Lepisosteus oculatus: one gene and its partner. The protein of the gene in region 2 purifies or fractionates together with the protein of the main gene of each other region. This does not show direct contact. Links are inferred from orthologs where the notes say so. Each region holds a gene or a part of one and is shown on either strand. Other genes may lie near its edges.

Evidence for each region.
Region 1: the proteins of dkc1 (region 2) and naf1 purify together in Homo sapiens (co-immunoprecipitation; 7 studies listed by BioGRID and IntAct, counting the BioPlex papers as one, with this or other methods). This does not show direct contact. The link is inferred for Lepisosteus oculatus from reciprocal best matches to the Homo sapiens genes DKC1 and NAF1.

The regions. Positions count from the first base shown.
Region 1 is NC_090696.1:22,507,075-22,523,582, forward strand, and holds the start of naf1 (H/ACA ribonucleoprotein complex non-core subunit NAF1), read left to right. Parts: upstream 1-8,200; 5' UTR 8,201-8,254; intron 8,255-9,443; 5' UTR 9,444-9,453; coding exon 9,454-10,073; intron 10,074-10,998; coding exon 10,999-11,158; intron 11,159-16,508. UniProt on the Homo sapiens protein: RNA-binding protein required for the maturation of box H/ACA snoRNPs complex and ribosome biogenesis.
Region 2 is NC_090703.1:36,223,307-36,240,712, forward strand, and holds the start of dkc1 (H/ACA ribonucleoprotein complex subunit DKC1), read right to left. Parts: upstream 6,560-17,406; 5' UTR 6,525-6,559; coding exon 6,509-6,524; intron 5,395-6,508; coding exon 5,333-5,394; intron 5,197-5,332; coding exon 5,110-5,196; intron 5,045-5,109; exon of another isoform or gene 4,838-5,044; intron 4,328-4,837; coding exon 4,236-4,327; intron 3,942-4,235; exon of another isoform or gene 3,862-3,941; intron 3,730-3,861; coding exon 3,545-3,729; intron 3,428-3,544; coding exon 3,363-3,427; intron 2,640-3,362; exon of another isoform or gene 2,414-2,639; intron 2,342-2,413; coding exon 2,215-2,341; intron 1,926-2,214; exon of another isoform or gene 1,847-1,925; intron 1,504-1,846; coding exon 1,373-1,503; intron 1,116-1,372; exon of another isoform or gene 977-1,115; intron 798-976; coding exon 654-797; intron 115-653; coding exon 1-114. Other genes in the region: tmlhe (trimethyllysine dioxygenase, mitochondrial), read right to left, coding at 13,959-14,090, 14,609-14,747, 15,316-15,552, 17,074-17,193.

The DNA of each region.
Region 1 (16,508 bases), on a different chromosome or scaffold from region 2:
TCCAGTAAGGCACCAATTGTATAATAGCTGTGATAATGTCATAGGCTATTCTCATTTTTATGATAAGCTCATTTTGAAATGCCCCTGTGATCTATTATAATTTGTTAAAACAAACTCCAATTGTAGCGTTTATAAAAAGTTGGGCAATTAGATGAATGACTTTGCTTAAAACAACCTTAAATTACCCTACTAACACCTGAATCAGATGTCTTTTTCCATGACTGTTATCATTTCAATTGCAATGGGACAAATCCATCTATTATTAATTGCTTTTTCATATTTTAATTAAAGAGCAGTTCTGTTCAAAACCTCCAAAAGGCTGATGGATAAAAATGGATAAATAAATGACCCAGTATTATTTACTTTAATTAATAATAATTGTTCATAATTTTACTTAGCCTAGAATATTTATGGACATTCATGGGTGAAAAGGAAAACAAATATTTGGCCATTCATTGTATAATGAAAGAATGATTCTGTTATTTAAACATTCCTTTTTGTGCATTGCACATGCATATGTATATATTCCATAAACATTTTCGTCAAGTATTTTCAAATCCTAGTTCCACAGTGGTAAATGACCAACACAAAAGAAATAGGAACTTCTCAATCTGTCACTAACTTAAGATTAATTTGTTTAGGTATGAAGAGTGATCTCTCAGCTTTCAATGTCTGACCAAATATGCTATTGTTATTGTTCATACTTACAGTAAAACCTTTTAAAACGTTTTTTCCACACTGCAGTTTTACTTAGGTTCTTAGTTTCAAACACCATGCAGGAATTGAGTTTATTTTTTATCAGTTCCATACAAGTACCCTTTGTGGAGTGACTGGGATATTGTTGAACCAAAGGGCCAAAGGGACATTTTCCTTTAATATTATCCATTTCCTTCTTTCTTTTCTTTAGCTTTGAATGTGTGGAGTCAAATATTAATTGCTGCTTCATATGTCATTTCAAGTGTCAACTACAAGCTATAAAATAGTCAAGCTGTGCAAAAATCTGAATAATTTTGCAAGACACTGTATGTGAAATATTTGTGGACTCAATGAGGTGAAAATCACAAGCAAATGCAAACAATTCTTAATTATTTTTACTGTATGTCAGGCAAGATCACAGTTATTTGCTCATGCTGTTCCTTTGATTAAGATTTTAAGGTGTCAAGGACTCATTTGCATCTTCATTGGACTTTTATTTATTAATATTGGTTGATCAATAATATGTATCTACTACCCCACATAATAAAGGTCCATGTTGCTCTGTTTAGAAGACAAGGGCATTTTGAAAAAATCATGTATAATTTTAAGTGCCACTAAGCTCATAGCATTGTTATTTTTTATTGCAATTAAAATATTTATTTTTTGGAAAATGCTGTTTTGCTGGATAGAGTTTCAAATCCTTAAGCTCATGGTAAGGTTTAAAAATGTGAAATAAAGAGTTTTGTCCCCTGTTGTAATTTGCTGCATCCACTTTCTGTGTATACAAGCTAATGGAGAGGTCCTTAAGGCAGCCAAATAGTCCTTCTACTCCAGCCACATTGAGAGGTTTTGTCGTAATCCTTTCATTTATTCTTTACTTAGCAATAAAATGCTTGATTCATCTAATAACTCTATTTTTCCTTTATTGAACAATGTAACACATTCATACAATTATTTCACAACAAAATACATTGCATTAATAACCAGCTGCTGACCTCATCTCCTGCAGTCATGACAACCACCACTCTCCTACCTTCACAGGTTTGAGTTTATCTTCTTTTATTGCTGTTGATGCTGCCTATGTAACTGAGTTAGTAAAATGTAAATGTAAAATGAAACCCGCTGTTTGTTTCTTAAATCTTATTTCTTCACAGCTGCACATCTTCTCTGCTCTGTATATTTGCTAACAGCCAAATCAAGGACTGCCTGAAATTTGATCTTGTTCCTGTAGTCTTAAACCTAACTGTAACCTGTGTTAATATGAAACTGCCCAGGGCAGTTTAAATCCTAATTGCATACAGTACATGTACTGTATTTGTTCATCATAACTGGTCGCCTATTAAGAGCTTTTTAGTCAGAAAAAATGAAAAAAATTAAATTACTTAGTTGTGACAGGCTAGTTTTGCATACTAAAAGTGTTGAATTCACAAAAAAGTCTGAGCAATTCAAGCCAATGCAATGCATTAATAAGCTCCAGTAATTCAGTTGGTTGAAATAATAGCCAGAAGACACAGCACTCCCTCAAGTCCAGAGTTAAGACCAACTGTTTTCAGATACAAACAGATTGTATGTCCAGATTTTGGAGTACTCTGAATCATCATCTAGAATAACCCCTGTTGTCTATATGGCTCCCAGTAAAAATAAGAGAGGACTACAAAGTTATCCTGATCCAAATAGTAAACTACAGATTATTTTAAAGATTTAAAACTTGATTAAGGCTCTGATTTTGAGATTTTCATATTCTGCTGAAAACCAGGCAGCACCAAATGAGTCATAGACACACAATGTCCAAGTGTTTTGAGACATGTTTTTGCTAAGTCCTTTAATGCATTATTTATTTTTATTCAATTTGAATAGATTTGCTGTGCTTTTATCCCACTTTGCTTCTGTTGTATTATATATGTGCTGTTTTACAGTTCCCATTAATAAAATTGCATTATTATTCTTATTGTTGTTGAAAATTATATTATTAGAATTGTGTGCCAATTTCACTTTATACAGCACGTGTGCAGGGCAGGAATCAAAACCCATTTGCAACCTACCAAGACAATGCAACAAAGGACAAGGCAGAAGCACCTTTCCTTATAATCTGTCACCCTAATAGGTATATCTGTTGTGCTGTTCTCAACATGACCCTGCGCTGCAACCACAATCTCAACACATTGCCACTGTGAATACAGCTTACTGTGCTGGAAGCCACTATCTCAACCCTAACACCCTGGGTGCAGTATAGGAAGCTGATAAGTTGAAAATATTACCTCAGACCCAGCCATCCATTTTATAACTGTTTTATCCAATACAGGATCACCGGGGAGCAGGATCTGATCCTTGCAAGAAACAGGACCACCCTTGACGGGGCCCCAGTCTATTACAGGGCTCACACAGACATACAGTACACACACTCACAACAGGGCCAATTTCCCCAGAAGTCAATTAAACTACCAGCATATCTTTGGACTGCTGGGAGGAAACTGGAGCACCCGGAGGAATCCCACTTGAACACACGGAGAACATACAGTACCAACTCCATGCAGATAGCACTCCAGGATCTGAACCCAGGGCCCCAATAATATTCAGGTAAAATAAGTTAATAAGTGTGTCCTGACACCAGCACTATGATGACTGAAAAGGTGAACATATAAACATATGGGTAAATACAGCTGTGTTCGTGAACTAGATGATTCTTCTCCGGTGTGCCTGCCATCTATAGTTAATGGATATGAATCAAGAAACACCCTTGGGTCTTGAAAAAATGTATTCCCGTTAAACAAGATAAACTAATTCTCCCTGGTATATTTCAAAAAGAAATCCAAATAGTTTCACAAATATAAAAATACCCCTCCCTCTAGTTCTTAAATACTTGGCTATTTTTGGATCATCAAACAGAAGCCCTGCTATGTTAGCTAGACTGCTACAGCTCATTTACTGCAGCTTCATGCTCAGTCCTGCTTCTTGGATTTATTTATTTATTCTCCTCCTAGCTCTTCTTTGTTGTCTCTTTTTAAAGCCTAACATAAGGTTTGAACATAAGATTTTCTGCTCTTTTCTAAAGGGTTCTAGAAATGTAAAATTTGCAGTCTTGGGTGAATGTGGTCTCAGGAATTCCTTAACTGAATGGACAAGCTGTAGAAACACCAACGCACTGATCTAGATCCCAGACACACTGGTGTCTGGATGTGTGTGGGAAGGAGGAATCTCTCTCTTATATTCAAAACACCAGTCAATATTGGACTCTCTTAAAAAATAGAAAACAAATGTATACTATAATAATAATGTTGCTTTATTAGCCCTATACAATTTCTTGCATTAAGAATTTGTCTTTCTGCATACCCTAGTTTGCTCTCCATGAGACACAGACAGGGAGAGAAGCTTGGGGTCAGAGCACAGGGTCAGCTATTGTACAGCACCCCTGGAGCAGTTGGGGTTAAGGGCCTTGCTCAGGGGCTCAACAGAGTAGGAGTCCTCTGCCAGCTGCAGGACTTGAACCAGCAACCTTCCGGTCACAAGCACAGATCCTTGCAAAGGAACAAGTGTCACATTCGAAGAAGGCTCCACAGCCAAAATGCTTTGTTTCTTTTCTTCTCTTTTTGGCATGGAATAAACTTTTACTTGTTCCTTATATATACTATATCTAAGCATAATATATATATAACTACTTAACCATATCAAATATGTACAGTATATTCCTTAAAGGCTTGTGATTTTTTACCACCAACATACTAACATTGTAAAGGCATTAATACTGTATATGAAATGTTTTGGTTGTTTTGATGTACTGTGTACAGTATATAAAACACAAAAAACACACAGTTGAACAGTTTAAAACACAATATTACTGATCCACTTCTGCTGCAATCCTTCCTTTCTGCAATACTCCTAGTTTTAACATTACACAAATATACACCTGTAGTATATTCTATCAAGGAATACAACTAAGATTTTCTTAAATCTAGATGTTGTTTATGTAAAATAAAAACAATGTTAAATACAATTTTTAATTTTTATAGTATCTGAGAATAAATAAGGATGAGATGTTGTGTATTATCCACAGAATCAGTAATTACAGTGGTTTGAGTCCTTTCAGCCAAGTAGTCACCATAAATGAGTATTTATCTGGTTACATAATGGATTAGTGTATATATATACATGTATATGTATAATAAAGGTGGTAACATACAGGTTATTTAATAATCTGTAATATTTGCTGACCTACACAGCAGCTGTGCACTGTAACTTTTTTTAATAACCTCTGCTGAAGGCACGAGGAATTCAAAATGATTACCCCTGAGGATATCTTCTGACAGCGCAGTGTGTTCAACACAAATATTTATCATGTTCTAATATTTTCTGAAATTTTTCCTTTCATTTACTCAAAATAATTGAAGAAGAGATTAAAATAACCGGATCTCTTTAGCCGTCACCAGAGAAAACCATGAGAGGACTGGGTCTAATTACTTAAAATTCTCTAGGGCACCCACAAAACCAACATGATGGACTTTTTCAAGATCATCATTGACAGAAGGACCAGAATAAATTAGTAGAAACATAGGGTAAATGTGCTTAAGAATAAAAACAGCAGTGGCACTAATTTAGACAAAAACAGGCTCAGAAGCAAGCTACCCATCCCTGGTTCTGAAGTTAATACGTTGGCTTCATTGTGCTCAAATCAATTGATTCAAATGATCAAATGAAACAACAATAATTATCACCTAAAGGTATGTACCCAACATTTACAAATTCTCATTTACAATGAAAATCTGATCAAGAGGCTTTCACCACTGTTACACAGAATACAATGCACTGACTGATCAATAAAGCATTAATAACAAAGCATAATATGTCAATAAATGTAAGTGAAAATGCCCTCAGATATAAAGCTGGATACTTTCAGCTTACTTTGCAGATTTTTTAGTCGTTGGCATCAGCAAATTGAAATTCATTACACCAAAGGAGGTAAGAGTCTTGGGAAGTTCGTTCTGATAAACAAACTACAATACAAACTGTGAGATGCCATAAATTGTTTGGATAGGAGAGTGCTTTACAACTTCATGTTCTGGAAATTAAACAGGACGTGGTATGAATCATTTGTCTACTTTAAAGAGATGGCCAAGTAGTTAAACATTGTGGTGATGAGTGAGATAAAGGAGCATAAATATCAAATAGCAGAATGTTATCAGACTTTGACTTTTACAGGAAGAGGTTTTGAAGCAATTTGTAAGCTGTATCTCCATATTCCAGGGTGTGGAGTACCTATAATGCTTTTTTATGTATGTACTGTATGTACTCCACATTCTGTTCTATGGAGTGCTGTCTCTGTGTGCCGTGTGAGTACATACAGTCCAGCATCTCCAATCTCTAAAACTCCAGTTGATGACCTGCTTACCTCCTATCACAATGAAGAAAGTCTGTGGTCGCTCTGTGGTTTTAGACATCCCCTTCAGTTCTGGCCATCCTAAAGAATGTGGTATCCCATGCACCACTCTCTCCATGCTGCAAGTTTAGCTTTGAGTGGGGGGGAGGAAGATGATGTTGGAACCTACCTCTACTGCTCTGTGTAGAGTTCCTGGTGTCCTTGATATCTCCTGGGTGCTATGGTGCAAACTGCGTTCCTCCAGTTTTTTCTGTCTCTGTGTGTTGTGTGTGAGTCCACATAATTTCAGTTTTTGTCGTGGGCCTGGGCAGAGCTAATGGCTCAGGGCTGATTACCCAACTGCCTCTATGGCCCAGTGTTATGATGCATTGTTGATTTTAACCCCTTTTCTGGAAGCTCCCTCTCAGTCTGAATCCTTGTTACTTGTGTCTCACAAATGCATGTGTTACCTCTGAACTGCACAGTATACAGTATTATGAATGTCTGTGCAAGGAAGATCTTTGATCAATGGGGAGCTCAGGAACAAGAAAAGATGAATGCACCACTCTTATGACACTGGCCATTGTTTGCGGACTTAAAATTAATGAGCCCTCCTTATATTGTTCATTTATAGGACCTCATCACCTTATCCATCCATTTTCTGACTGCTTCATCCAATTCAGGGTCACACACGGGGATAACTTACAAACTCCATGCAGATAGCACCCCAGAACCAGAACTGAACCCAGGGCTCCAGCGGTGCAAGGCAACAGTGCTGATTACTGCACAATCATAATACATTTTTAATTGTATTCCAAAAAACAGAAGGGTCACATTTATTACCTCTCAATTTTGTTTAAAATTCAACAGAAACAAATCTACAGTAACATCCTACTTTTGGGTATTGTAATAGGAACCTTTGGAACTGTAGAAAAGGACTTTGAAGGTATCCTGTTTCCATGGGTTGTAAAAGGAACGATTACTGTATATGGAAAACATGTGGATATAGCATGTAGTCAGAGGGCTCTTTGAAGGTGGTAGACAAATGCACATTGACCTCCATAAGATGGAGGATTGTTGTAAAAAACTCCCCAAATCCTGAATCTACCACATTCTACTCTAGTGCTCATTCACAGAAAATTGAGGCTGCTGGTACTGTATAGTGGCAGATCTGCGAGTATATCTTGTCACCATGGGCTGTTTCAAGAGGCAATAGTTGTAAATCTTCAGTACACACTGGCATCTTCAGGGTACAAACAACCAAAATCTCTCAAATTTAGCATTCATTGCTGGGTTTCAAGAAGAAGTCTGTTCTGGCAGAGGTGACTCAAACTTCCCAAACATTATTTGAATGACAAATGAAACAATGTCTTGTGGTCAGATTAAATGAAAATTGATCTTTTTGGAAATACTCATCAGTTTTACAGTATGTTGTGATATTGTGTGGGGGCCTATAATGTTATGGGATTGTTTTGCATCTATACTGTAGGTCCTGGAATCACTGTCAAGATAGACAGCTCCATTCCGTACCGAACTCCGCGGTTGTTACAATACCTTCCAGAAGAGGATTACAAAATACTTACTACAGGGGTGTGACTAAAAATAACCCTAATATTTTCTTTACTTATTTATGTTCCATGTGGATACGTGTTGCCAAGATACCTTCAACTTCATTGTTGTTGGTTTCCACATAGTAAATTGTTACTTAATGTACTGGATTATAAAAGTAACAATGTATTGTAAGTCGCCCTGGCTAGGAGTGTCTTCTAAGCTTCTACTAATAAAAACATTGTGTGTGATGTTCAGGTCTTTTTTGCAACACATTAAAATGTGCATTTTTAAATAATTTCCTAGTAATAGTACAGTATTTGACCTTCTATACATGCTACAGTAATATTATGAGTGCTGTTGTATTAAGCACTTGCTTTTTACAAAGCGAAACGCAGAACAAGACAAGCAATGGCTATAGTTATTAATTCCTAGAATAAAGATACATTTTCTTTAAACAGAAAGTATTTTCACAAACATCGTTTCCTTATGAGCAATGCAACACACTTTTTTATTTTTTTCCCCATGCAACACACTATCAGCAGCTTTATCACCGGCGTGATTTGATGACGTATGTTCTTTCTGCCCTGCGTAGAAATAGGCAGCCGGAAGAACTCGTTTGAGATCAAACAACGTGTTGCACTATACAATATCAGAAAGGTAAGCACATGATTAGTATACGCAAAGTAATATCGCTTAAAGTTTTAGAAAATAGCGTAAACATCCATAAAAGTGACTCTTATAATATCTATTTTTGCTTGTCATAAATTATGCTATTCGCTATTTCTTTTCGAAACAATGTAGTTCAAACTTGCGGTAAATGCTGTGATCAACGAGCTTGCTGAAAATCTGCTGCCTTTTGGTTTTTAACATCAGTGCATCAATTGATTTTCATTTTTATTGTCTATATAAGGGTCGCGGCGGTTCAGCATGTATCTGAAACAGCCACTGTAACGTCAATTGTGTGAACATCAGTTGTAGCATCTTGTAAATTATTGTTTCAGCGTTCTTAACAGTGCAAATTTGCAACGAATTGCATGAAACGGATATCAGAAAAGTGTGTTTTCACATGTCCCAAACTCATACACTACGACATGCAATATCATACCACCACAAAGATGAATGAAGAAAAATATAGTTGTTAGAGCAGGACAGAATTGTAAGCAATAGATAAAGAGAAAAATGAGTGAGAATATTCTATGTAGATATTGATCACAGAAATAAAGTAAATAAATCTGTCTTGTTTTCCAGACTTCTTCGATTTCACATGTTGAAAATTTAAAATATTGTATTTTTCTTAACAATACTGCTACAGTTTGTGGTACTGAAATGTTTTTCAGACATTGGAGCATGCCAGTGGTGGAATGGTGGCACAGTGATTAGCATTGCTGCCTCCCACCACTGGAGCCCTGGGTTAAATTCTGGATCTGTGGTTTCATGAAATTGTCCCATCTACATGAAGTTTGTATGTTCTCAAAGTGTTCATGTGGGTTTTCCCAGGGTGCTCAGGGTTCCTTCCACAGTCCAAAGACATGCTGGGAGTTTAATTGGCTTCTGGAAAAATTGCTCCTGGTGTGTGTGATAGATACTTTATTGATCCTGTGAGGGAAATTGTGTGCTCTGTGATGGACTGGCATTCCATCCAGAGTGTACCCTGACACACTTGCTAGGACACTCTCCATCTTCCCTACATTGGTCAAAGTGGTTAACAAATGGGTGGATGGAACTTGTCTGTTTGTATTTTTATTGTGTGTATTTTGCCATTACACATTTAACTTTCTCAAAATAGGATAAATAGTTAAGTTTTCATGAAAAGTATTCATGTTTTTCTCTTTTTTTTTTCATATAGACAGTACACCATGGAACAAGAGCATTGTGAAACAGCTCTGGAGCATTTGGTAGATGCCAATACTGTGGTAAATACTGTAGAAACACAGAAAGACCAGAGCAGTGCTTTAGCTCCTGAGTTACTGGATTCTCTGACAACAGACTCTACAAAAGTTGAGACAGAGTCCCTGACAAATCCATTAAGCACTGGCATTGAAGATCAGTACTCAAATAGGCATATGGTTGGCACCAAGTCTCCCACACCTGGTACAAATGAAGTAAATGGCAATGTGGTAGCAGTGCCTGAATGTTCTGAGAAAGCAGAGAAACATGATTCTGATATACAAAGAGACGGGCCAGAATTTGATGCAGGTGGAGCAGGAGTTAAAAATACCGGAACTGGAATACTTGAAATGAATCAAGTGGCTGATCACACATCTCAGAGTGAAGACATGGAGATTACAGTGTCATCAAGAATGGAGACACTTAATTTTATGAACACTCCTGAAGCTGCTGAAGCAGAGAGCCTGCCGGCTGGGAAGAATGTTACATTTCCTCAGGTTTGCATGATATTAAGGAGTGATGACAAGGAGACTAACCCGAGTGAAGAAAGTGACGACAGCAGCTCATCTGAGGACTCCTCTTCCGACAGGTACGTACTGAACAGCCTTGTTGAAAGATTTTAAACATTTCAGAAAATATTTACAAAGTGAAAATGCAGATCACCCTATTTGTATGTTGTAGTAGATGTATGAAACATTTTACTATTCTGACTTATTCTACACTATCCTGACTTCACACCTCTTGATTGGCCTCTCTTTCTGTCCCCTGCTCCTGCCACTCGCTCCTCCTCTCTCCCAGCCTTTGTTCTTCTGCTACATTACCTTTGCTTACTGCCTTGTCTTTCTCACACCTGAAGAAGGCTCCATGGCCGAAACATGGTTTCTTTCTCCTTTTTTTCTGTATGGAATAAACCTATTACTTGTTCCTTTGCAGCCTACGCATGCTGACGCAGCTACCCACCTGAACTGAAACATTTTATGTCCACCTAAAACTTTTTTTGACCGGAAAAATGCTGTGAACCTATTTATAGATTAACATAGCAATACCACTTGCTAGTTAGATGTTATCAGATTTCAGAAGCTAAGCAATTTACTATTTACTGCTATATGTGTTCTTTCTTCCCAAATCCAATAATTATATGTTGCTGACCTCTTCAGCCAAGATGTTTCTTTGCCTTATTGTGGCAAGATGAAAAATATCGCCCTCAGTAGATTTTCACTACCCCGTTTATTCAGAGTTTGACTTGAGTTTACAGCAAAAATAGCATATTGCCGTTATTAAACATCAAATTATTAGATATTGTGTATTGTTTTTAAATAGAATCCTTTCTCATGTAGGGAATGTTGTTTGCCGTTTCAGAATTTTCCATTGTAACCTGTTTTCTCTGAATGATACATACAGATGTTATCATTCTTCATTTTGTGATTTATGGATTATTTGTTGCAGAACTAAGTTTCTGCAGTTTTTAAGAATTCAGTACATTTTTGTTTTAATTTCATGTTTTTATTTTGTAGTGATTCAGATTCCTCTTCTTCCTCGTCCTCCTCCTCTTCGTCTTCTGCGCTTCTGCCTGCTACACTAGGTGAAGCTGATGATGATGATGATGAGTGCATGGCTTTTGGTAATGGGAAAAAAGCACATCCTGTTAAAACTAAAGATGAAATTCTCATTGAGGTATGTTATGCAAATATTTTTGCCTTTTAATAAACAGTGTAACCTCTAAGAACCTTGAGTAGGCTCTGGTAAAAAAGTTATGGAGCTTTGTTATTTGTTACTTCTCTTGATAGCTACAGTGTCTTGTGTATTTCACTTTTTAGGCTGTACCTTAAAAAAAGGTAAAGAAAAAATGATTTTTTTCTCCTAAACTGCAAGCAACATGTCTTTTATCATTGACCCAAGAGCATGAAAGATATCTAGAATACCAAGGAGTACCACTGCATTGTATCAGTTTTATGGATAATTAGATTACTGTGACATTTGTTTTCATTGGGTCTTGTAGAATGTTTTGACAAAGAGGTTTAAAGTTTTGGGGTACAATACCACTGTTCAAACAATAGCAAAAACAGTTATTTTGAGGTTATTTTGCTTCTTCATGATTGCAGTACTCCATACATATATAGTATTGTTGTGCTTAGTTTTCAGAAATCACTGCATTATTATAATCTCACTTGAATTTATACCACTTTAGTCCTACTGCGCCATGTTGCATATTACCATTACAATCATATAGTGTTTTGTAGTGAACATAAGATTATAATTGGAAACAAAAAAGAACCACTAGTGGCATAGAGGTGTACATACTCACGACACTGCAAGCATTTGGGTTTTGTTCACGGTGTTCCAGTGAAAATATGTCATTATTCAAATTAAGTTGTTCTAATGCTTAAAATGGCAGTAGCTTTGAGGCAGGCAATGCTTTCTAAAGCATACAGAGTAAAACATTCCTCCAGTAATTTTAAAACAGTCAGTGAAAAGGTCATGTTTTATATCTATTATCATCTTTAATGCATATTTTGTGAGTTAAAAAAAAGTTCCAAACATTAATCAATGACAGCTAGTACATTACTTCACGGGAAATCTAATCATCTGCTAACCTAGAAGGTCTATTGTCATTGTAGTTATGAGAGCCTCTCCATCCATTTTCTAGAACTGCTTTATCCTTAAAGAGTTAATAAGTATTGCAATGTATGTATTAGATGTTGGCAAGATATTTAGCAGGCATGCATAAATTTTGAGCAATGCAACAGTTTTTTTGAACACAATATCATTTTTAACACATGCAGCATGTTTTTTTTTTAATGATGGTAGACAATGTTTCTGTAAAATAAAAGAAAGGCTTATATTTTGCCTTAGGTATTAAAGTCTGTAGTTAAAACTTTCCTTGTGCTCTTTTGATAACACAAGTGTGCCATGCATGCCTTTTGAAATCTCTTGCTCTTTCTGCATAGCAGCAGAGTTTGTTCAGACTGCACCAGGCTTTTAATTATGAAAAGTTTTTATAATTAATTTATGTAAATCAAATCAGTAAGCAAGATTATGATCTGCCTTAGCAGTTGTTTGTTTCACATGTTGAAAGTTAGCTTAGTGGTAGAATTACCTTGGGAGGTAGTTATTTCTGTTTAGAAGTTTTTTGTTATTGACATGTGTATCATTAGGTAGAAATACTTGACTCATATACAGTGGTGCTAGAAAGTTTGCGAACTCTTTAGAATTTTCTGAATTTCTGTATAAATTTAACCTAAAATGTTATTGGATCTTCATCTAAGTCATAAAAATAGAGAACTCAATAAAACAGATAACACACAAAATGATATACTTTTTCATTCATTTATTGATCAAAATGATCCAACATTAAATCTCTATCCAACTTGCTGTAGCTAACAGCCGCCTCGCTGAGGCAAGAAGGGAATCTCCAAGCTGGGACTTGGTGGTTTGGGCAGCTGTTGGCGTTTGCTGAGGAGAAGTGAGAAATGGCCAATTGAGAGAAGACAGGCAGGAGGCAGGAACAGGAAGGGAAGAATGCCAAGGGAAAGGTGCTAGCAGGACAGGATACAGGCAGCTTTTGGGCCTTTCAGATTTTGAGTCATAGGGACCGGAGTATGTTGTTATCCAGCTTTTCTGGTAGCTTGTCCTAAAGAAGAGCTCAAATGGCTGTTCCTGAAGTTTGACTTTTGAAGAAAAAATTATTCTTTCGTCATTAATTTATTAATAAAACTTCATTATAAGGCAAGTACAATTTACATTAAATATTACACATTATGGTGTGATGGTTATAATTATAATACTTTAAACTTAGTATTTTTGCTTTGGGTTCATGAATTGATTCATTTTATGAACATCTAAGACATTTCAAATGAGTGAAATCTATTCTTCCCATCTAGCACATTTGGTAAATAGAAATTAATTTATACGAGGATGTTATAAATCTATATCTTGAAATAATCAAGGGTATACTTGATTTAAAAAAAAAAAACTTCCCAATCTGCATCTATTGGCTGGTTACTTTTTTCCAGACCCTCACTGGTTTTCTATTCTAAAAGATCCTTCTGTTAAGTTTGAAAAGCACTTGTCCATGGTTTATAGTGTCCCCATCACTATACTGGGGAATTAGGACCCACATAGACCACAGCGTGAGCGCCCCCTGCTGGCCCCACGAACACAGTTTCCAGGAGCATCCTTAGTTTTTCCCAGGACGTCTCCTATCCAGGTACTGACCAGGCTCACACCTGCTTAACTTCAGTCGGTTGCCAGTTTTGAGTTGCAGAGTGATATGGCTGCCATAGTCAACTATAGCTGTTACAATATTAATAGAACTCTGGTCTATTGAATGAATGAAGGTTGTTCTGATTTATTTCAGATTTCAATTATATCTATCTTGCTTAATTAATAAACACCTTTTTAAATCCTTATTTATAAATTGAATTAGGTTTTAAAAATTGATGATTTCTATCTAACGTAATATAAAACCTGACGGGTATGAGCTTTTCAGGGGCAGGATTTGAGGCCCCTGTATTAATTTATTCTTTAATGCATATAGGACTTATCTTGCCCTTCTGCATGCAGTGTGGTTTTTTATACTCATAAACTGTATCATTCCTAGTCTGGTTTATTGGAATGTCAAGCCTTTCTTTTGCAGTCAATCTGTGATGTTTATATAATGCACTTCAAAGCATTGCATAATATGATTACAGTTTCTTAATAATTCTCTTACCTACAATGTTAAGTTTCAGAAAAGACTAGATCAATACGGACATTTTCTCTTGTAGGTTCTCTGACAAGCTGAGTAAAAAAGCCGTCATTAACCATTTGAACCATTTCTGGTGCTTCCAGTCCAGTCTGGTGTCATTTTTTACCAGTCTTTTTAACAAATTTAAAATCTTTCATGAAAGCCACTTCTTTTTTGGCACATATTCCTAATAATTAATATTTGAATTTGGTAACAAACTCCTAAGAGTATGCCTTTTGCATGTTTTTAAGTTTGACCTATATAGATTCTGAGAAATCTTGACTCAACTAGGTTATTGCTATGCACGTTTCTTTGATATACAGTAGAGTGCACTTCCCCCTCTTCTATCCATCCTCCTTTTCCAGAACACTGTGTATCCACTAATGTTATATTCATCACCAGCACTCTCCAGAAACTGTTGTGGTGATTCCAGTTACATCTTTATTACTTGCTAATGTCGTAGTTCCTATCTCATGTATAATGTTTTTAATAGTGTTTGCAGTTAGGTTAACAATTAGAAGTAAACTTTTAATTTGTGAGTCGTTCTTTGGATTCGTCCCCCCTTCAGTCTACTTTAAATATTTTTTTTTAGTTCTCCATGGATCATTATGAGAAGACATTATGTGCTTACCTCATTTAGGAATGGAATGGAACTGTTTCAAATGTGAAGTGTGGTGTTTAAGCCAGTGTCATTTATCTCAACTTAGACGATGAAGTATTGTCGCCTGCTTTTGTTAGGAACCTGTCTGTTCTATAAACATCATCAGCAACCTTAGCTCTAGGGAGACAACATACAGCTGTTAACTCAGAATTCTTGATGCATAGCTTACATACAGTGTTTCTGGGCATAGTGTCGTCATCAACCACTCCGCCATTATTTTTTTTCTTGTGGTTTTGATGTCGCTGACACTGATTTTAAGTTTTTGTGACTGGTATGTGGACTTCACTGCCCATAATAGTGATGCCCTGGAAGCTGCTGCCTTGAGTTTTAAAGTATTAGCTGTTTTCTTCTGTCACCATAATTGTCAATCAAACAACTTTTACTTCCACAGACTAGTTATTTGAACAACACTATATCATTGTGGATGCATCAGTTCTGCTTTTGCTGTTCTTGGTGTTAAGCTGTTTAACATATAAGCATAAGGAAGCTCGCAAGCAAATGTGTCATATTTGGTACTATTTTAGTTCTGTTTTTTGTTTTTCCAAAAGTACTTACCCAAAATAGCCGTTAAAGATAGGTTGATAAGTCCTTATTCAAATAGAACTGTTAACATGGACTTTTTTCCATTTACTGCAAAGATATGGATATGACATATGGCATTCTGATGCAGTGGAACTGGAAAACAATCACAAAGATGGAGTATAAAATTATGTTGGTGAGGTGTATTGACTCATGGTTTCTCAGATTTTGGCCTGTCCTTGATAGACTGTTGCTTGCCATCTGGGGCTACAGCCAAGAACAGTGTACTAGTTTTCAACATACCAGTAACACAAAGGCCTTGTTCTGTAGAAACGCAGGGCATATTAGTTCCTCTCTGTGTTTTTCTTGATTTTTTTTTTTTTTACCAGGCTTGACATTCACCTGGTTAAATCATTTCATTACTTGCGACAAATCAACACTAACATAATAATGCCAAAACATTTAATCAATATCCAAAAAAATCCCTGTACGTTTCTATAAAACTATACATGCATGCATAGAGTGATATTTCTTTTTCAGTAATTAAGCAGATGTTAGGTGTCAACTGTATTACAGTATTGATACTTCGGCTGTATGTTGCAACTGTTTAGAGAGAAAAAAATATTTTCAATCTGTTACATTAATTAAGTGGTTAGTAATAAAGGCCAACTTTCTTTAATCAACATCTATGCCTCTTTTTCCTTTCCTGGAAAGCAGAGAAGCAAAGTACTTTTTAAAATTCCATTTGAAGACCAGACCATCTGTTCAATTAAAAAAGAGACACCTTATACATTATGTAATTTTCCACAATGTGAAATTTGCTTTTAGATACACTGAGCAAGATGACGTCGTTTTGTTTATTTAAAGAAATAAAGAAATATTACCTGCAAATATATAAAGCTCAAAGTTCAGTAATCAAATTAATTGAAAGATGAGAGTGCGTACAGATTAGTGTAACTTTAAATGATTGTAAAGGGAGAGAATAGTTGACTTGATATGGTTATTAGAAACAAGATCAATGATTGAAGTTTGTTTCTTTCAAACCAAATATTATCAAATAAGAATGAGTTGTGTAACATTTGCACGTCTGTTAACTATAAACTTGTAAAATTACAAAC
Region 2 (17,406 bases):
AATAGCTTCTCCTTTAGTAGTGATGACAACAATCTCTTGGTTTACTTCAATGCCATCTTCATACCGGAGAACACCAGGCAGCATGATCTTTGCACCATAGCAGATTGCATTGACCTGTAAGGAAGACACTTGTCAACACTGTGCATCTTCCATTCACTACAAAAATCAGGCTGAATGATCATCTACGAGCAATGCCATCCTTTCATCTTCAGTTTAGAATGGATTTGTGTTCCCTACCACTGAGTTTGTTTTACATTTTAGCTAAGATCAAAGAAACACAAACCATTCTGGAAGGGCTGGGCTATAGACCAGAATCACCCACACTCTAAGATGACCTTAAATGCATTAACTTGAATGTTCAAATGATAGCAAATGCTTTTGATTTCAGGAATTCTTAAATCTAGTGTGGTTTGCCTTCTTCAAAAGATAGAAGACAAGTATTTATACATTTAACAACTAACTCGACAGCTGAAATTGTTTACAGTCGGGGACAATGCTTACTTCGATCAGTAAGTAAAGCATTTATAAGATGAAAGAGGACAAAATGATTCATACTGAATAACTAAAAACAGTTCCATTTTAGCTTCGCAGCATTTGTTCTTTAAACATCATTAGCTCTAAGGCCGATTTAATAAAAAAAGGTATAGCCATACCGCACTGTCCTTCATAACAAGACGTTTGTGTGACACAAGGAGCTTCTCTAGTGGATAGATGACTCTCCTCAGGTAGGTTTCATCCTTGTTATGGTCATACTGCCACTGGGCATCCAACACATCGTGCATGGTAACCAAGTTGTCCTGAAAAAAGGATAAAATAAATAAGTTTTCCTATTGTGTAATAACATTGTCATTATGATTTCAAACAGTAAGGCTCTCATCTTTGAAAGGTGTCAAAAGAGTACCGTGTAACAAAGTACAGCTTTGAAATTTTGCTTTTATCCATAGTGACTCAGATTCAAAACAATGAAAAACAAAATGAATGTAGGCAAGGATTCAATGAAATGGAAAAACAATTTAACCATTCCACTCATATCCTCCTCCATGCCATTCCATGTACCAAAGCTCAATTACCAGAGCCAGGGAAAAAGCCCAGCACTGAACTCAACCACTTTGGACAACATTTATTACTTAAGCCAGAATGGTCCAATCCTGGTCCTTTATAGGTCTAAACCTGGTGTTTCTTTGAAAAAGCAGAGCCTGAGAATAACTGTTAAATAGGTCCAATAAAGCCAGTCATCAGCTGGTTTATCCTGTCAAAAGCCGGTTTTATAAAAAGATTTTATTTCAGACCAACAAGACCAATACTGGAGACCCTTGACCTCAGTACAAGCCTCTGGTTGGAAAGAGGGAAGCGGAGAAAACAGTTTTTTTACCCGCTCTCCCAGGACCCCAGACCGCACTCGCCGAAGCTCCTGCATCTGTCCCCCAACTCCCAGCAAGAGGCCAAGGTGAACACACAGGGTCCGGATGTAGGTACCTGCCTCACAGCTGACCCAGAATATCCCTGCAGAATACCAGTTAGAAACATGACTGGAGTGAATACTACCCACCATTAATACATGAACTGGTAAATCACTGCAAATATGGTCTGCGTTCATTTTTTCATGAAAAGTCCAAAAGCAGTTCCATTTAATCATCAGAGACCTGGCCTTAAATTTGTTTTTAAATTTAGCATTTAAAAGTTGAGTGTTCAGAACAATGAAGCACCAATTTACCTAATTCCAAAAATTTTAAAAACAAATCACTGGTACGCCTTTTATATCAGGCCTGCCAGATTAATTTAGTAACTAAACAATTACAATGAATAATCCAAGTTCAAAAACACCCCTCTTAACCACTGTTCCAGAAGCCATCAGTCATGGGTGATAGATCAATAGTCATCTTTGCACAAAGTGCTAATGCAATCTATACAACACATCATTTGGCCTCTTGTTTGGAGCTAATCATTAACTAGGATACTAATGCCCATCCTAAATTTAAGTTTTCTTCCGAGTATTTAAGGAAAGCAGAAAATTCACTCAAGCTTAATTCTTATCGTAACCTATAAGTAAATACCCCTTTGTACTCTTGGCACTGACGTTCCTCATCATGACTAATAATATTAGCAAGATTCTTAATAATCTTTACATTATTTTGCAATGGAGGATTTGCAGCTTTGCTGTGCTCTGAAGAAAACAGAAAATCCAGTAAAGTAATAGATCTCTCTTTTCCTTACCCAGTCTTCGCTCTGGATCGTACTCTATGAGTTTGCTTTCATAAATGGTTCTCACTCTCAACTGTCTCTTCACAGCTGCAATCAGAGGAGGCCGCTGGAACAAAGCCCCCGTTAAGGTTTCCAGTGCCTGAGAAAGAGGAGAGAGACTTGACACACCTGAGACAAACGACTTAACCGGAAGCCAATTCGAAGCTTGTACGTGATCAGACTGTTTGACTCGTCTCTGCAGAGGCTGGTTCTGCCTCTTGCTACAGCCTCCAGTCCTGCTCCAGCTCTCCAGACCCCTGCTCCACCCCCAGCAGAACACTGGAATGGCCGAGCCGAGTCTGGGAGCCGTGACACTCAGGCCTAGAACAGGTCGTGAGTGCTGCAGAGACAGGGGCCAGCAGTGCTCAGAGAATGGATAAACAAGTTCATCATCTCACATACATTGCTGCCGCAGGAAGAGCACGTCAACACAGCTCATCCAGAAGATTGAGCATCAACAAATGCAAGATTTTTCCTGTGTGCTTACTCAAAACTGAGGCTTTAAGCATTGTAACAGCAAAAAACATTTCAGTCAAAAAAAAAGTCCCATAAACCCACTTTCATAAAAGTCAAAGTGTCTAACCCCATAAAGTAGATGACTTCCTCTCATAATAAAAAAGCAAGCTAATTGTGGAATAGTGAGACAGGAAAAAACAGGTGAGCCACCCTTGTCATCTTATGTGAAAATGCAGATGCTGAAGTGACATAGCTTAAATGTACATTAACTTCTTTGCAAGCAAACTTAAATGATTTGACCTCCAATACTGAAATTTTTACTTATTTTGTGAAAAACACGTTTAAAAACTGCTTTAAACTGATTTCTAAAAGGCTTTGGTTGATTTATTAAGCTTGTGGACAGTTTGTACTTTGACATTTTTTCTTCAAACAGACAAGCAATAGCCATACTGAACATAAACTATATTTAACATATGTAGCTACTTTCCACTGATTTGCTAAGGAATCAAATAAAGAATAAAATGACTTAATGCTGTAAGTGAGAAATTAGGTCAATTTTTATGTTTAATGATAAAACGTAAACCCTGTCTTAAACTGGTTCACATAAATGTGGAATTACTATACCATTTTTCTAAATTAAAGACCAATTTTAAAATAAAACTTACCCTGGAAAGCTGAAGCTCATTCTCAATAGCATTGTGCAGCCGAACAATTCCCACATACTCTTTGCCTGAAAGCAATAGCAAAAGAGTAGTCAGGAGAAGCTGCTTTTTTTCCTGTGTCACTTACAAGTGACTATAATTCACGATTTTCAGAGACTGAAAGAAGACAAGAAATACCCACTCACCAGCGCTCTGCTGGGACTTCACCAGACGCGTGGCTCTGTCTACACACACTATGAGACAGCCTGTGACTTTAGGGTCCAGAGTGCCACTGTGGCCTGTTTTCTCCACACGAAGAATCCGACGGATCCACGCCACCACTTCGTGAGAGGATGGGTTGGCGGGTTTATCCAAGTTAATAAAACCGGTCCTACAGATTTTAAAATATTTCAGTATAACTTCTAAGAATAGGAGATCACTCAGTATTAACTCAGAAAAAACAAATGCATAACACAAGGCCTACTAAAGGAGTTGTAATGGTTGCCTTAACATTTCTCCCTGAAGCCATCAGTCATGGGTGATAGATAGACAGTCATCTTTGCACAGAGTGCTAATGCAATCTACATAAAAACATCATTTGGCTTCTTGGATGTCATCAATCTATGAAATTAAAGCATTCTCTCAGATCTTAGACAACTCTTAAAGTAGAAAATTCTAACAATGTAAATTTGTCTGGTGTAAGGTAATATCTTCCTGCTGTAAGCACTAAAATACCTAAAACAGATTAATAAATCTTTCAATGTTAAACAGACAACCTGTTTCACATTTCACACAGGACGAAGAGTTTAAGTGCATTTTTCAAGTTAAGACTTTGCCAGCATTAGTTTCAATTAGAAAACCAAGATCCCTAAAGATACAGCAAAAAAAAAATTGTACCTGACATAATCCTGAATATTTCTCTTCAAGGGATTTGAGCCACTTGGGAGAGGTGTATAATGTGCTGTCCTTATGTTCAGCTTATCAAAGTTCTACAAAAAAAACAAATGAAAAAGGAGATTTTACACAAATGTATTTAGCATACCACCTTTGTCACACCTACACCATCCATCCATAAAGTGTTACTTTTCAAAGTGTCACCCAATTCTTCATTTAATACTTAATGGAATGGAAGAGAGGAGAAAGTCAAGGTTTTTATATATTGCTTACTGTACACTTCCTGAAAAAAATCTTTAATGAGCAAAAAGGCACAAGGCCAGGTGAAATGGTATTTACATTAATGTGCTGTGCTGCCTTACTGGAACCCTCCAGCACCGCATATACAACACTGTGTATTTGTAGAACTGTGATCTGCACCTTCATTCAGGTACAGTGATAAGGGAAATAATTCTGTATAAATCTGTTACTTTTTGGATTGAGAAGCAGATGTCTTACATTGTGCATATCCCAACAAAGTGAGCTATATTGTCATGTGAGGCAAGTACTGATCATTGGATGTTCTTTGTGCAACAGGCTACTTAACCCCTCCCCATCGAACTTGTGCGATCAGACTGTTTACTCGTCTCTGCAGAGGCTGGTTCTGCCTCTTGCTCCAGCTCTCCAGACTCCTGCTCCGCCCCCAGCAGAACACTGGAATGGCCAAGCCGAGTCTGGGAGCCGAGACACTTAGGCCTAGAACAGGCCGAGAGTGTTGCAGAGACAGAGGCCAGCAGTGCTCAGAGAATGGATAAACAAGTTCATCATCTCACATACAACACTATACATGGGAGCTTCCTAGAAGGATGACAGGAACGTATAATAATTATCTAGTTACCTTCAACAATAAAGGCCACTGAGAGGTATCAAGTGTTGGAATTTTGGACTCCGGTTTGATGAGGAAATCACCCATCTCTTGAAGTTCCTAAAGCGGGGGGGAAAATCCATTTGATGTTATGAAAATTTTAAATTACAATGTAAGCAATTATAAAAACTTCAAAGTTTACTGCACCCAAAAAAGTTGCTAACATTCCAAAAAAGCCATGTTACATGGAACCTACCCCAACTTCATCATCGGCAACTTTTTTCTCCTTCTTCTTCTTGTGCTTCTTAGCTGAGGAAACTGAGAAAAGAGAAAAGAAGAAACCCAAGAGTTCAAACCGTGGAAATTAATCATTCTCAGTAAATAATCATGGACTGTTGCTGTAACATTAGCACATCACGTCTCTTGATATGAATAATCATATGAATTAAGGTTACTTTCCTATAATAACTCTTACATCTGTAAACTCTTCTGGAAAAAAACAACAGGCTTTCTACATATAATTATTAAACAAAATAAATTCTTGGAATAAGAAAATCATCATGTTTCCATCATCAATGACAATTAGGAAAAGTCAAGTCCCTAAAATATTCTAATTTAGCAACTCTTCAGAGCATTCATGATCATAATTCGCACATAATGTATCTTTATTTGATTAATAATAGACATGCGGGCTGCATTGGTTTAGGGAAAACTGTTCAATACAACCACGTGGCAGACTCTGAAAACACGTGGTGACTAGAAAAAGACCACATTTGGCGGTGTGCAAGGCATTAATTTTTAAATGGATAAAAAAAATACCATAAGCACAATTGACTCACTGAATTAAAACGTATAGAATAATCGTTTTTAGTAATATCGTGCAGCATTCAGCAATCTTAAAGCAAATGTTAACTTTCGCTTTTAACTTCAAAAACAAAATTACAAAATTACAAAAGCTTGCTACTTCATCGATGAAAGTGACTACATTGTGGATTATAAAAAAATATCGAATGCAAAAAAGCTAGGTACATCCTCTGCAACAGTGAAATTCATGTATCTCTTCCTACTGTAAAGTTTATATTCAAAAACACAGCATTTAATGCGTTTGTACCCTACATATTAAGATTCAAGATCGCAATTATTAAAATTAAGACGCCTTAAATAGTGATATACACGTTGTAAGAGCCGGATTGATCAAACTTAAGATGTAAAAATACAGGCAAGTTGATCATTTATCGTCTAGTTGCACACTTGCCCCATGCAGCACACACGAGGTGAGATTTATTTTCTCTACAAAAGATCCAGTCTTAAATCGGTCTCAAAGAGCTTGAATTACTTTGTCCTATGTATCTCAGTACAATTGACTACTACTATTTCCCCTCGAATTGCATATAAAAATAAAGAAAAACCCAAAATTATTTTCCATGCCTACCCTCTACGTCCGCCATCTTCACTCTCTCAATGTGGAAAGGAACACGTGTGGTGTTCACTGCGCATGTCCTTTCCCGAGTCTTAGACCCGTGAAACACCGCGAGAGTCTGTCCTACATGATGTCATTTCTATTGCCTAAACAAATATGGGAGTTATTAGTTCAGCTCCTCTGTCTAGTGCGAGCTAGTGTGAAGGTTACTTTAAGGATGGATTAGTTCTAGTGTAAGGACATATTAATCGTATCGACTTGAGTTATTTATATTATTATTGTTGTAAATTAGAACAATGGTTAATATTGCTGCATTGCGATGCTGAGATCCTGGGATCAATTTTTGGTTTGCTGCTTGCAAGGACTCTGCATGTTCCGCAGTATTTGTATGGGTTTCCTGTAGGTGCTCTGCTTTTGCCCCACAGTCCAAAGACATAATGGTAAATTCATTGGCTTCTGCAAATAGACCCTGGTATGACAATGTGCGTTTTTGGTGTCTGTGTGAAACCTGTGATGGACTGGTATCCAGGGTGCATCCCACATTTCGCCCAATGCTTCCTGGGATTGGCTTTAATTCATCATGTCCCTGAATTAGATAAGTGGCTTTTGAAAGTGATGTGATGTATCATTTTATTTATTAATCTAAAGTTATTGACATTCTTTTTATTAATCTAAAGTTATTGACATTCGTTTTCTGTCATGTTTAAACAGGAGCTCCATATTGAGAGGACCCTTTCTAAACAGGATTTTTCCATCTCCTAAATTTAGTTTGACTCCATGAAATGAAATTATACATGAAAGGGAGGATTCATGAATAATATCTGGATTATTGTTTGTAATTAGAAATTAGATTCAGTACATCAGGTTTTTCACTAATCCCATGATTGTATCATAAACAGACTCCTTGTAGAGCCTATTGTGATGAAGCAGCCATGCTGTTGTATTAATATCTTTTCACTGTTAAAAAATGTATTTCCCAACCCTTCAACCAAATGTATTACCAACATCTTAGTTTCTTAATTTGCTTTTAGGTTTTTGCAATAAATTGTGATGAAAGTAGTAGTAAGACTAGGACTCGGGGTGTTTAGACAAAGGCTGATAGTGTCCCCTTGGGATATAGGCAGAATATGAATTAGAAAGAAAATAAAGAATCTATTGGCAAAAGGGGTGATTGAATAGAGGTACGTAATAAGCCTTAAAAAAACATGATTCCCTACAAAAAGTACGCACAGGGATGTAGCCTTTCAAAGAGCTCTATTGATGGGGTTACTGGCAGTAATGACAAGAGCACTTTCCTCTGGCTAGAGCCAGACCTAAAAATTTATTTTATGTCCCAAAAAGAAAACCACCTCTCGCACCGTCTCTCAAAATCACATCTTAAAATGTACTATTGAATTAATGCATTTTCTTTTAATTGCGCAACTTTCTATTTCTATTGTATTTAAGGGAAGATGTTGCATAACAGATGGTGTCAGGGTGCCCTTTTTACAACGCAAACACAAAACAAGTTCTATCTTCAGAATAATGAAGCTGATTTCTGCCAGTTATTATTAGCTTGGGCTAGGTTAAGTGGCTGGTTTCTTCGCCAGGGCTTCATTCTTTGTTTCCAGTATTAAGAAGAACAACACTATAACATGTATTAAGCAATAATTATATGTGGGCTCCAGAGTTGCTCAATATGTGAAGATGCTTGCTTGAGGACTGGCACTGGCACTGTGTGTTCCAAGCCCGGGTTAGGTCACTGTGACTGTGATGGGATTTCTCAAGTGGTTGACACATAATTGACTAAGCACAGCACAGGGTAGGGTTGGCATTAGTTAGCAAGGGCGCTTTTAGATCCCAACAAAACAGCAATTACTGCAAGCCTGCACCAGGACTGGCAAAGGAACTGCCTCTCCTTCAATTGGAGAAGTGCCTCCTGTGGCGAGCTGCGTGACCTGAGATGTATTAACAGATCAATGACTCAAAGGTGGGGAGGCCAGACACATCTGTCTGCACTTCCTTGTTGTCACTATGTGTTGGTACAAGATATGCACCTGTGAGCCGAGACATGAAAACACACAATTGCCAATTCCAAATTGAGTAGGTTTATTACCAAATAATTATTTGGAAGAAAGGTGTTAAAAATAATTATATTCTACTATCAAAATTGTAGGGATTTTTGATGATTCTTCATATCTTTTTTTTTTGTCTTCATGTGTCATGCATTTTGGTAGTTAACACACAGTGAAAAGGTGCAAACTTTTGCTATATACTTGGCAATTTAGCCTCCAGTGACCTCAGGAGTTGGGCCACTCACTTCACACTTAGTACTGAAAGAGGTAGCAGCCCACGGCCACTCCAAGGCTGTTTAGTTCTGCCCACCAACAAGCAGGATTTAGACCAGATTAACAAAACTCTAGGGCAATCAATGTAAAGTTTAATATAATTACAATATACAATATAGAGTGATCAGGACTTATGCATCCAGCCAAAGTATTTGATCTCGTGTCTAGAGTATGCAGGGTCTCATTCATAAGAGTTTTCTCTGGTTTTACCAGCTGCCTTTTGTTGTCTACGCTATATTTTGCCCTTAGGGTTAACTCCCTTTGGCTATATCTGAATAGCCCCAGTTATATAGATATAGTTCGGTACAAGAAAAGCTGTCCACATTTTCTATGTTCATGTGCTGTTTGGGGGAGTTTTAGCGTAGTGGGTAAGTCTCTGGACTCACTTTGGGTTGTGGGTGCAATTCCCTTCTGCAGACTTTACCCCACTTGCTGCAGTCCATCGGGGACCATCAGTTATTGGGTGGTAACCCCAGTGATGAACCAGAGTCCTGTCCTGAGGGGAGAGTGGCATAATGTCTGCTTAACACCAAAGGAACCATGATAGGCTCTGGTGTATTAAGCCAGTGTGGTTCAGATTTTAAGGCAAAAAGTTTAACATAAAATAAATAATATAGTACTGTATATTCAGGTAAATTATATCTAATATGGTACAGCAGTACCCACTTATTCCATATACACTTTGAAGTGAGGGGCCTATTTTTACTATTGCTTCAGCAATAAACTGATCCCAGTCCACGACAAGATCACTTGGAAAGGGTACTTAAAAGTAACTTTTTTTTCAATTTGGGCTTAATTTGGAGACTTACTGTATGAAAAGATGTTGTATTCCATCATAAATAAAATGCAAAGAAGAGAAGATAAAAGTGGCAATTCCAACAACCAGACGTAATCTTCTAATCTTGGTATATCGTTGTGTATTAGTATTGTCACCATTTTATCTTATTATAAACATGCACATTGAAAGCATTTTATATACATATACATATGAAACCAAAATCAAATAACAAAGACCACATAAGAAACAGCTGTCATGTTCAGTGGCCTTTTTAAAATCAGTTGTAAAGGCCTTGCCATTGCAATAGCTTTGTGACTTAACTTTTCAATTTTTGAAACATACTAGACTCTATAAAGTCCTAGAAGACCAACTAAAAAAACAGGAGAGCCCTATCTAGTCATCATTATTGTTATAAAAGCACTGATGAGAAAACATCATTTTAAATAAACATCAAGACAAGGTATCCACTGATACAGGGATTTTCTAAATCAATATTTCTTATTAAGAATTCAGAAACAATGAAATACTAATATTATTCTTTTTTGACCTAGTGATCACTGGATTCAAATAGCCTCTTAAATTTATGGTTAATAATGTTCCCCATTTCTCACACTTCAGACTGGCAACTGAATGTATGGTACTGCTAATCAGCTAGAGGTTTTTATACGTAAAACACTATTTTGTTTAATGAAAGATGTGGTTATCAGAATTTACTCTACTCAATAGCTTCCCAAGTCCAGGCATATAAAACAAAATTAGCAATTTTACTAACAATACTTCTTGCTATTGAACTATAAAAAGAATTGGAATAGACCGTTTACACTGGCTGGATATGAAACAAACAATTACTTTACAGAATAATTTTAAAGGCCAGTGGTACTGTATCTCAATGTGTTATACCCTCTCATTTAGAATGGCTTTGAGAATTTTGTTGCACAGAATGCTATGTGCTACTGTATATAGTTATATTTGTAAAAGGTCATCTTAGAAGATGCAACTAAAAAAGCATGGTGAAAGACACTTGGATGAAAAATTAAATATAAGAAAAGGCTTTAATAAGGTTCTATTCTCTGGACTTTAATATCAACAGTTATCAATTTTAAATTCAGTTTAATCATGCAAGTTAATTTTCCCCATTAAAACTGTCTGATATATACCATTTCAACGTAAAAGAGAGAAAAGTTTTTTTTAAAAAGTGGAAAATTCGTAAATGTTTAATGTGGCTTTTTATTTTAAAATTTGAGCTTTAACACAGTTGATAAGAAATAAGAGACAGAATACAACCTTTAAACGAGTTATTCCAATAGCTCTTAAAAGCAACTGAGATTGCATTTCAGATGATTAAAATGTAATACTGTATATACAGAAAAACACAAGATTCCTTGATTCTTCACAGACTTGAAAGTGCCATTTCACCGAGTTTTGCTGAGACAATATGCCAAAATCACTTCAATTGTACTGGAGCAAGTCACTCTTGGTCATCCTTCTTTCTCCAGAAGCCAGGATGTTGCAATTTCATTTTTAGAAGGAAACAGAGGCCAGTAGAGTGTGATCTCGAGAATATGGAATGTAAAAAAAAATATAATTCCTTTTCAAGAAAGGACGTCAGCCAAGGATATAAGTGTAATAATTAAATAGTTAATGTCAGGGACAAAAAGAAGCAGGGACAGAGGGGTTCATAGAGGTCAAAGCATCTATGGTATTGAGATTATAAAACCTGGTAACATACTGTAGATGGAGAAACCCACATAAGAGTCATGCAGTTCTCATCCAGGAATGTTCTATCAAGGAGAACACCAGAAATGGCTTGTGCTCTGGTGAAAACGTCCTGTATGTCTCTTGGGGACAGGAAGCACAGACGTTGGTCATACCTAAGTTGGCAGGAACCCGTATCATACAACACAAATTTATGAAAAAACCAGACTCAGAAGCCAGGTTAGGTGTCATCCTGAAAGCACTGTAAACTGGTGCATTGTGCCTCAGGAGCATACTGTAGTGAGCAAGCAGCTAAAAAAAAACAACATAAATACAAGGGCTTCAATGTCAATTAAGATGAAATTTCACAGAGGGCAAAAACAAAAACCTGAAAGCTTAAGGAGCTTCATAGATTCTTCCCCTCCTCATGTCTTGTTGTTTTGCTTATTTCTTTAACAAAATCACTAGACAATGGATGCATAAAAACGTGTGCATCACGTGACTGAATTAATGCCAAACCAAAGGCAAGTTTGGAAGAAGGGAGCTTGGACAAGATACTCCCATTAGCCCTTAGTTGAAAATAATTCTTGGCACTGTCAAAGACAGTCAGTGTTATTCAGGTGAAAAAGACAGCAGGGTTAAGGTGAGTGCAAAGGGAGTGTCAGTAAGCAGGGTTTGAAGAATAGCACTTCTTGAGTCAAGGGGTGCATGCAGTAGTCACAAAACCATCTATGTCAAAGTCAAGAGGAGTCATCAAGGGTCAACTTGACAGATTCAACACAATAGTTGAGTGGAAGAAGAGTAGAGTACTACAGCTACAACGCAGCATCCAGCTCATATTTACAAGAAAAAGCTCTTGGGTGAAGTATGCTCAAGTCTGACGTAGAAAGCCTGTTATAGAGAAAAGGAAAGCAAATACGAGAACAAAAGAAAGATTGGTAATTATCAACCTGGAGAATGGAAAGAATCGTGCTCTTGTTCTTAGTCCAGCAAATCCAACTCCAATTACCAGACAGCTGCTCATTCTCACCTACCCAAAGTCTAATCTGGAAGCAAAAGGCACAAGGCAGGACCACACCTTGGACAGGACATCCGCCTTTCACAGGGTCACTTGCAAACAAGGACAATTTAGAAATACCAATTATATTTGCCGGCATGTCTCAGAGAGTTAGGAGGAAAGTAGAACCCATATCGACATGGGGAAAGCATGCCGACTCCACACAGAAGGCGTATGAGTTCAAAAAACAAAAACAGAACCCAATATTAATAAGGCTACAGTGCTCCAGAAAGTAAACAGTAATCTGCAGAATCCAAACCATGGCCCAGATTAAACAATTTCACTGGGATTGTAGAGGAAAAACAGACAGGTCAGAGTGATGTTGCAGGGACATTCTGGATTGATACAGCACACTAGACCAGCAAATTTTAGTGACATGGCACATCCCCATTGGTGATGACTGTTTTCGATCTTTGAAAGAGAACAAGCTTTCATCTGCTAGACTGCAATGGCTACCACAGTGCAATCTGAATTCATGGATTCTGGAAGAAATGTTAGAATTTTTCAGGCATTCTGTTTGTGATTTATTTAGAATATGAAGCATACACTTAAGAAATACATGAAATCATGACCCAGTGACGTACGTAGGAGGAAAATCTGTGATTTTGTAATGCAAAAAGGTCAAAACAGCATTGGCTTTTTTTAGTGTTTTAAAAATTCTCAGAAATACTTTATTCCAGATTACTCTGCCTGATGAAGACAGCTTTCATATCACAGATGAAAAATATTTTCAAAAAAAGAACAAAGTATTTCTTCTTTCACTTCTTTCCAGTAATCATGAATCTTAAAATGCTGTATTGGACAGAAGTGTCTAGCATGTTTTACATGACGGTTCACAATTTTTAATACAATGTAAGGCACAATGAAAAAAACAAAATAAAATAAGTTTCATATACCGTAGGTCTCATTCATTAAAATGTTAATTAAAAAAATCAATTTTATTGAGCAAAAATAAAAAAGACCAGTCTAGTCTCAGAGCAGACACTTAGGATATCTTTTTTTTTCTCTTTTTTAAATATTGCTTTCCAGATACACTTACCCAAATCTAGAAAATTCTACTGCAAGCAAGCGATAAAGGAGTTCTTCATGTAGCTACCTGACCTCTGGACATTCAAGTGCTTTCATCATTACACAATGAGACTTATAAAAATTTGAAATTCTGTGTTGTTTCAAGTGATATTTTGATGGATATTTCTTATCAGTTAAAGTGCTGAGATGTATAGCCTAGTTTTTGATTAGGGCAGGGATCTTAGGTCAGTCCCCACAGTGCAGAGATGTCTCTAGATTTAGTTTTAAATGGAAATGTATTATTTTCTCAGGCAGAAAGACATTTGTATGTATTACTTTCTTGAGGTGATTGATTAAAACATGCAATTTGTTCCAGGTACTGTACGGTGCATTTAAACATTTGCAGACCTGGAGAGAAAAACTATATGTATCCAATTACTCAACAGTTAAACTAATTCAAAACCTGAGCACTCTGGCATTACAAAAGCCAGCAGAAGCCGCGACTCTCTAGGATGTGAGTGTGAAGATAAGGGAGTGCTTTGGTTTGTTAAAGCTCGTACTGTAAGTGCTGTCATTTGGAAATTTTGATGGGGGGACTTAGGCTTTGAGTCCCAGTGATCTTGCTGTATTGAGAACATCATCCCTGGTGAGGTAACAGCCACACAGTTGACGCAGGCCTGTGAATGATTCTCTACCGTGAAGAACTCTCCAATTATCAATGAAAAGAACCTACAAAACAGAAGAAAAAATAACCAGACATAATAAAGGAATTTAAATACTGCCAGTATTAACTATGCAAGGAATCTGTTTTTGATAAAACTGTAAAGGGAATTCAGCTGTAATCTTTTATTTACAAAGTAAAATAAACTCCTATGAAGTTCATTGCCATCTAGAACAAAGAGCTGGAAGAATGGAAGGTTTTTTTATTTATTTGTGTGAAGAACTATACACAAGACTGATGTGCTGTTTGTGGGAAAATATGTGAAGCAAGCATGGGCTTTATAGACAAAACTGATGGACATAAATTAAAAATGTAATCCCCAACAATAAACAACCACTCAAAGGACCTACAGTACTTAGGGTTTTTGTAAAACATCCGAAGATGGCTCAGCCCCTCCCACAAATCAATTACAGTGAAGGTCTTTCAAACAAACTTTAAGCTTTCCAGGCTTCCTCTAAAGAGATCTAGGACTTCACTGACATAAAGACTAGACAACACATAAACTAGACAAACACTAAAACCGTACCTTTCCTGGCTTGAGCTTGACCCAGAGTTCATTTTCAGGCTTTCTCAGCTCTGAGGTGAGAGCTCGGTGTGCTACATACCAGCGCTGTACCACATCATGAGGAACAGTGTTGATTACTGCCCGGTCGTAGTTATTGTACCTGTAAGAGAATTTAAAAAATTTAAGTCTTCTATTTTAATGATTTGAAACAGACACCAAAATCTAGAACATGGAAAAACACCACCCTCAACTCAATTTTCTTTCCTTTGGTAAAAGAAACTAAACTACCCATTAATACCATTAGTGTAGGCACTTTGTATAAGTTGATGAGTTTCTTTAATTTTCAGTTATGAAAACTACTGGCTCCTGATAATCACCTTGTTTAACTGTTAAATGTGCTTCAAAGTGAATGAGTTATTTGTGTATAATGCACTTTTAACCTCCTAATCTAACATGCTGTTAAGGAACACAAAGATGTCCATTCACTCGTGACACTGCAGTCACTGTACAAAACATGTAATTTCTGAAGATACTTTTTGCCTTTCCTGCGTTTAAGGTCATGTAAAAACTAGGCTACCCATGTGATCTAGAAAGGATTACTATATTTGGCAAGAAAGAGAAAAGCTTTTAGGAAAGACAGACAATGTGCATTTCAAATGCAAATCGTCCTCTTAACCTTCTGAAGGTTCTGTACAACAGCTTCCAAACCTGCAAGTGACTATCTTTACCTTATCATGTAGACCTCATTGTTCCATGGGTAGACATTGAGCACTGGCCCAATTCCAATCATATGGTTGTGATACTCTCCCACGTTCTCAATATATTCGTGTTTGATGGGCACTTTAGTGAGCAGGTCAAAGTTGTCTGGAGTCTCCTGAAAAACCTTATCTGCTGCATGAAAGCCATCCACAAGCAAAGTCCTCCCACCAGTCCCTTCGTGTCTTAGACAATGAAACACCTGGATCCTACAACCAACAAAAATGGTTACATTTCTTAAAATTAGTCTCCCCCACATTTGTGTGAACTGCAACTCTGTGCAGGTCATGCAGGTACATATCAATGTTTTTCATGCCAGTATTATTATTATTATTATTATTATTATTATTATTATTATTATTATTTAGGGCATTGGCAGTTTTGCACAGTCCCAAAAAAATTTTTTTGATTTGTTTCTATGACAACAAAATAATCAAATCTGTGTATTCCATTTTTTAAACTTTGGACCGGAAAAGGGCGAAATGTCTTTTAAAAATCCTTTGGAGTGATGCATTCCAATGTGACACATACAGTACACAGTTGGCTTGCTGTGTGGGAAACGGAATAGAAAGCAAAGACTGAACAATAAATAAGCAAGAGTCAAAGTAAAGGCCACTAGCATTTCGAAAGATCCAGTACAAAGAAAAAAGCCAAGTATTTGTGGCCATGCTTTACATGCCCTTTTTGACTAGAAATAAATTTCTCCTTTAGCCCCCTATAGCTCGCCCACATAGAATTAAAATTTAAAAATAACCAAATTTAACAATGCTCTTTAAATAATTTTGGCTTGCTCTCTAGGATGTCACGTATAATCAGGCTGTTATGTTTGAAAAGGATAAATTAACAGAAACTAAGTCCTTGACTTAATTAGAGGGCAGAGATTAGCATCCGATGAAGACAGAGAGCACTTCATTAGAAACTCCTCTGATGAATAAAACCCTTTCAATCTCAGAAGAACAGGAAACATGAGTCTCTGCAAATGAACAGGATAACAGTGTTAGGAATTAGTAGTGAGGGCCCTATGCAGAAAACCAGGACAAACTCCAAAAGGCGTAGTCAAAAGAACAATCCGATGTCCGAAAGCCAAAGGTAAACTAGCCGGTGCAAAAGTACAAATAACAAGAAGCGGAACCGTAAACCGTGAGGAAGCCGAGAGTCAAAACCAGAACAAGACCAAAAGTACCAAAACCAAAATCAGGAGACGTAACCAGGGTCAGGAAGCCAAAAACCAAGCAATAAATATCAATGAGAATGGGAGTAGCTCTAGCCAGGAAAACCCTAATACTGAGCAGCGGGAAGAGTGTGAGGTAGCATTAAATAGGCTAGGGAAAAGGGCTAATTGGGAACTGTGCTGGAATGTGAGGTGGAATGACGATTCTTCCAGAGGCATGGTGTAACAAACAGTCATTTGAATGGCAAAAGTGAAAACAGAAAAAATTCACAACAGCAGCAAACGGGTTGATTTGCAGCAATACTCTGTTGTATTAGTTAGTGAAATGAAAAAAAGAGTACAGTACATACTGGAGCATATAACATTTTTCTGTTATATTTCTTACATAGCACATCCATATAGAGGTTTAATGGAATAACATTCCGCGAACTAATTTATATAGTTAGGAAAACTATCAGACAGAAATGGATAGAATGCAAATTTCTGGAGAGAGGATTCTATTCCTTGCATATAAAGTACACTTGCAGCTGTGAAGTAACAAAAAATGTTATGGACATACCCACATGGTTCTTGGAAATAAGAAGTATCTGTGTGACGATCCAAGGCAAGCTTAGTATAAGCAGTGTCCCCTCTGGAAAAATCAGAGGTGAAGTTCCACACTCTACCGTACATGGTCTCTCTAAAAAAATGAAAAGTGTCAGGACCAGCGGCCTTGGCTTGTACAACAGTACAACATAGACATCTTTCCTAAAACAATGAACATCTGGCATATCAAGCCAATAATAAAACAAGGATATTCAAACATGGGTTAAAAACAGACCATTTTGTTAATTTGTTTTATTTCTTCCAGCCCTAGTTCAAGTTTTCCTTTTGTGTTTTAAATGATTGTTAG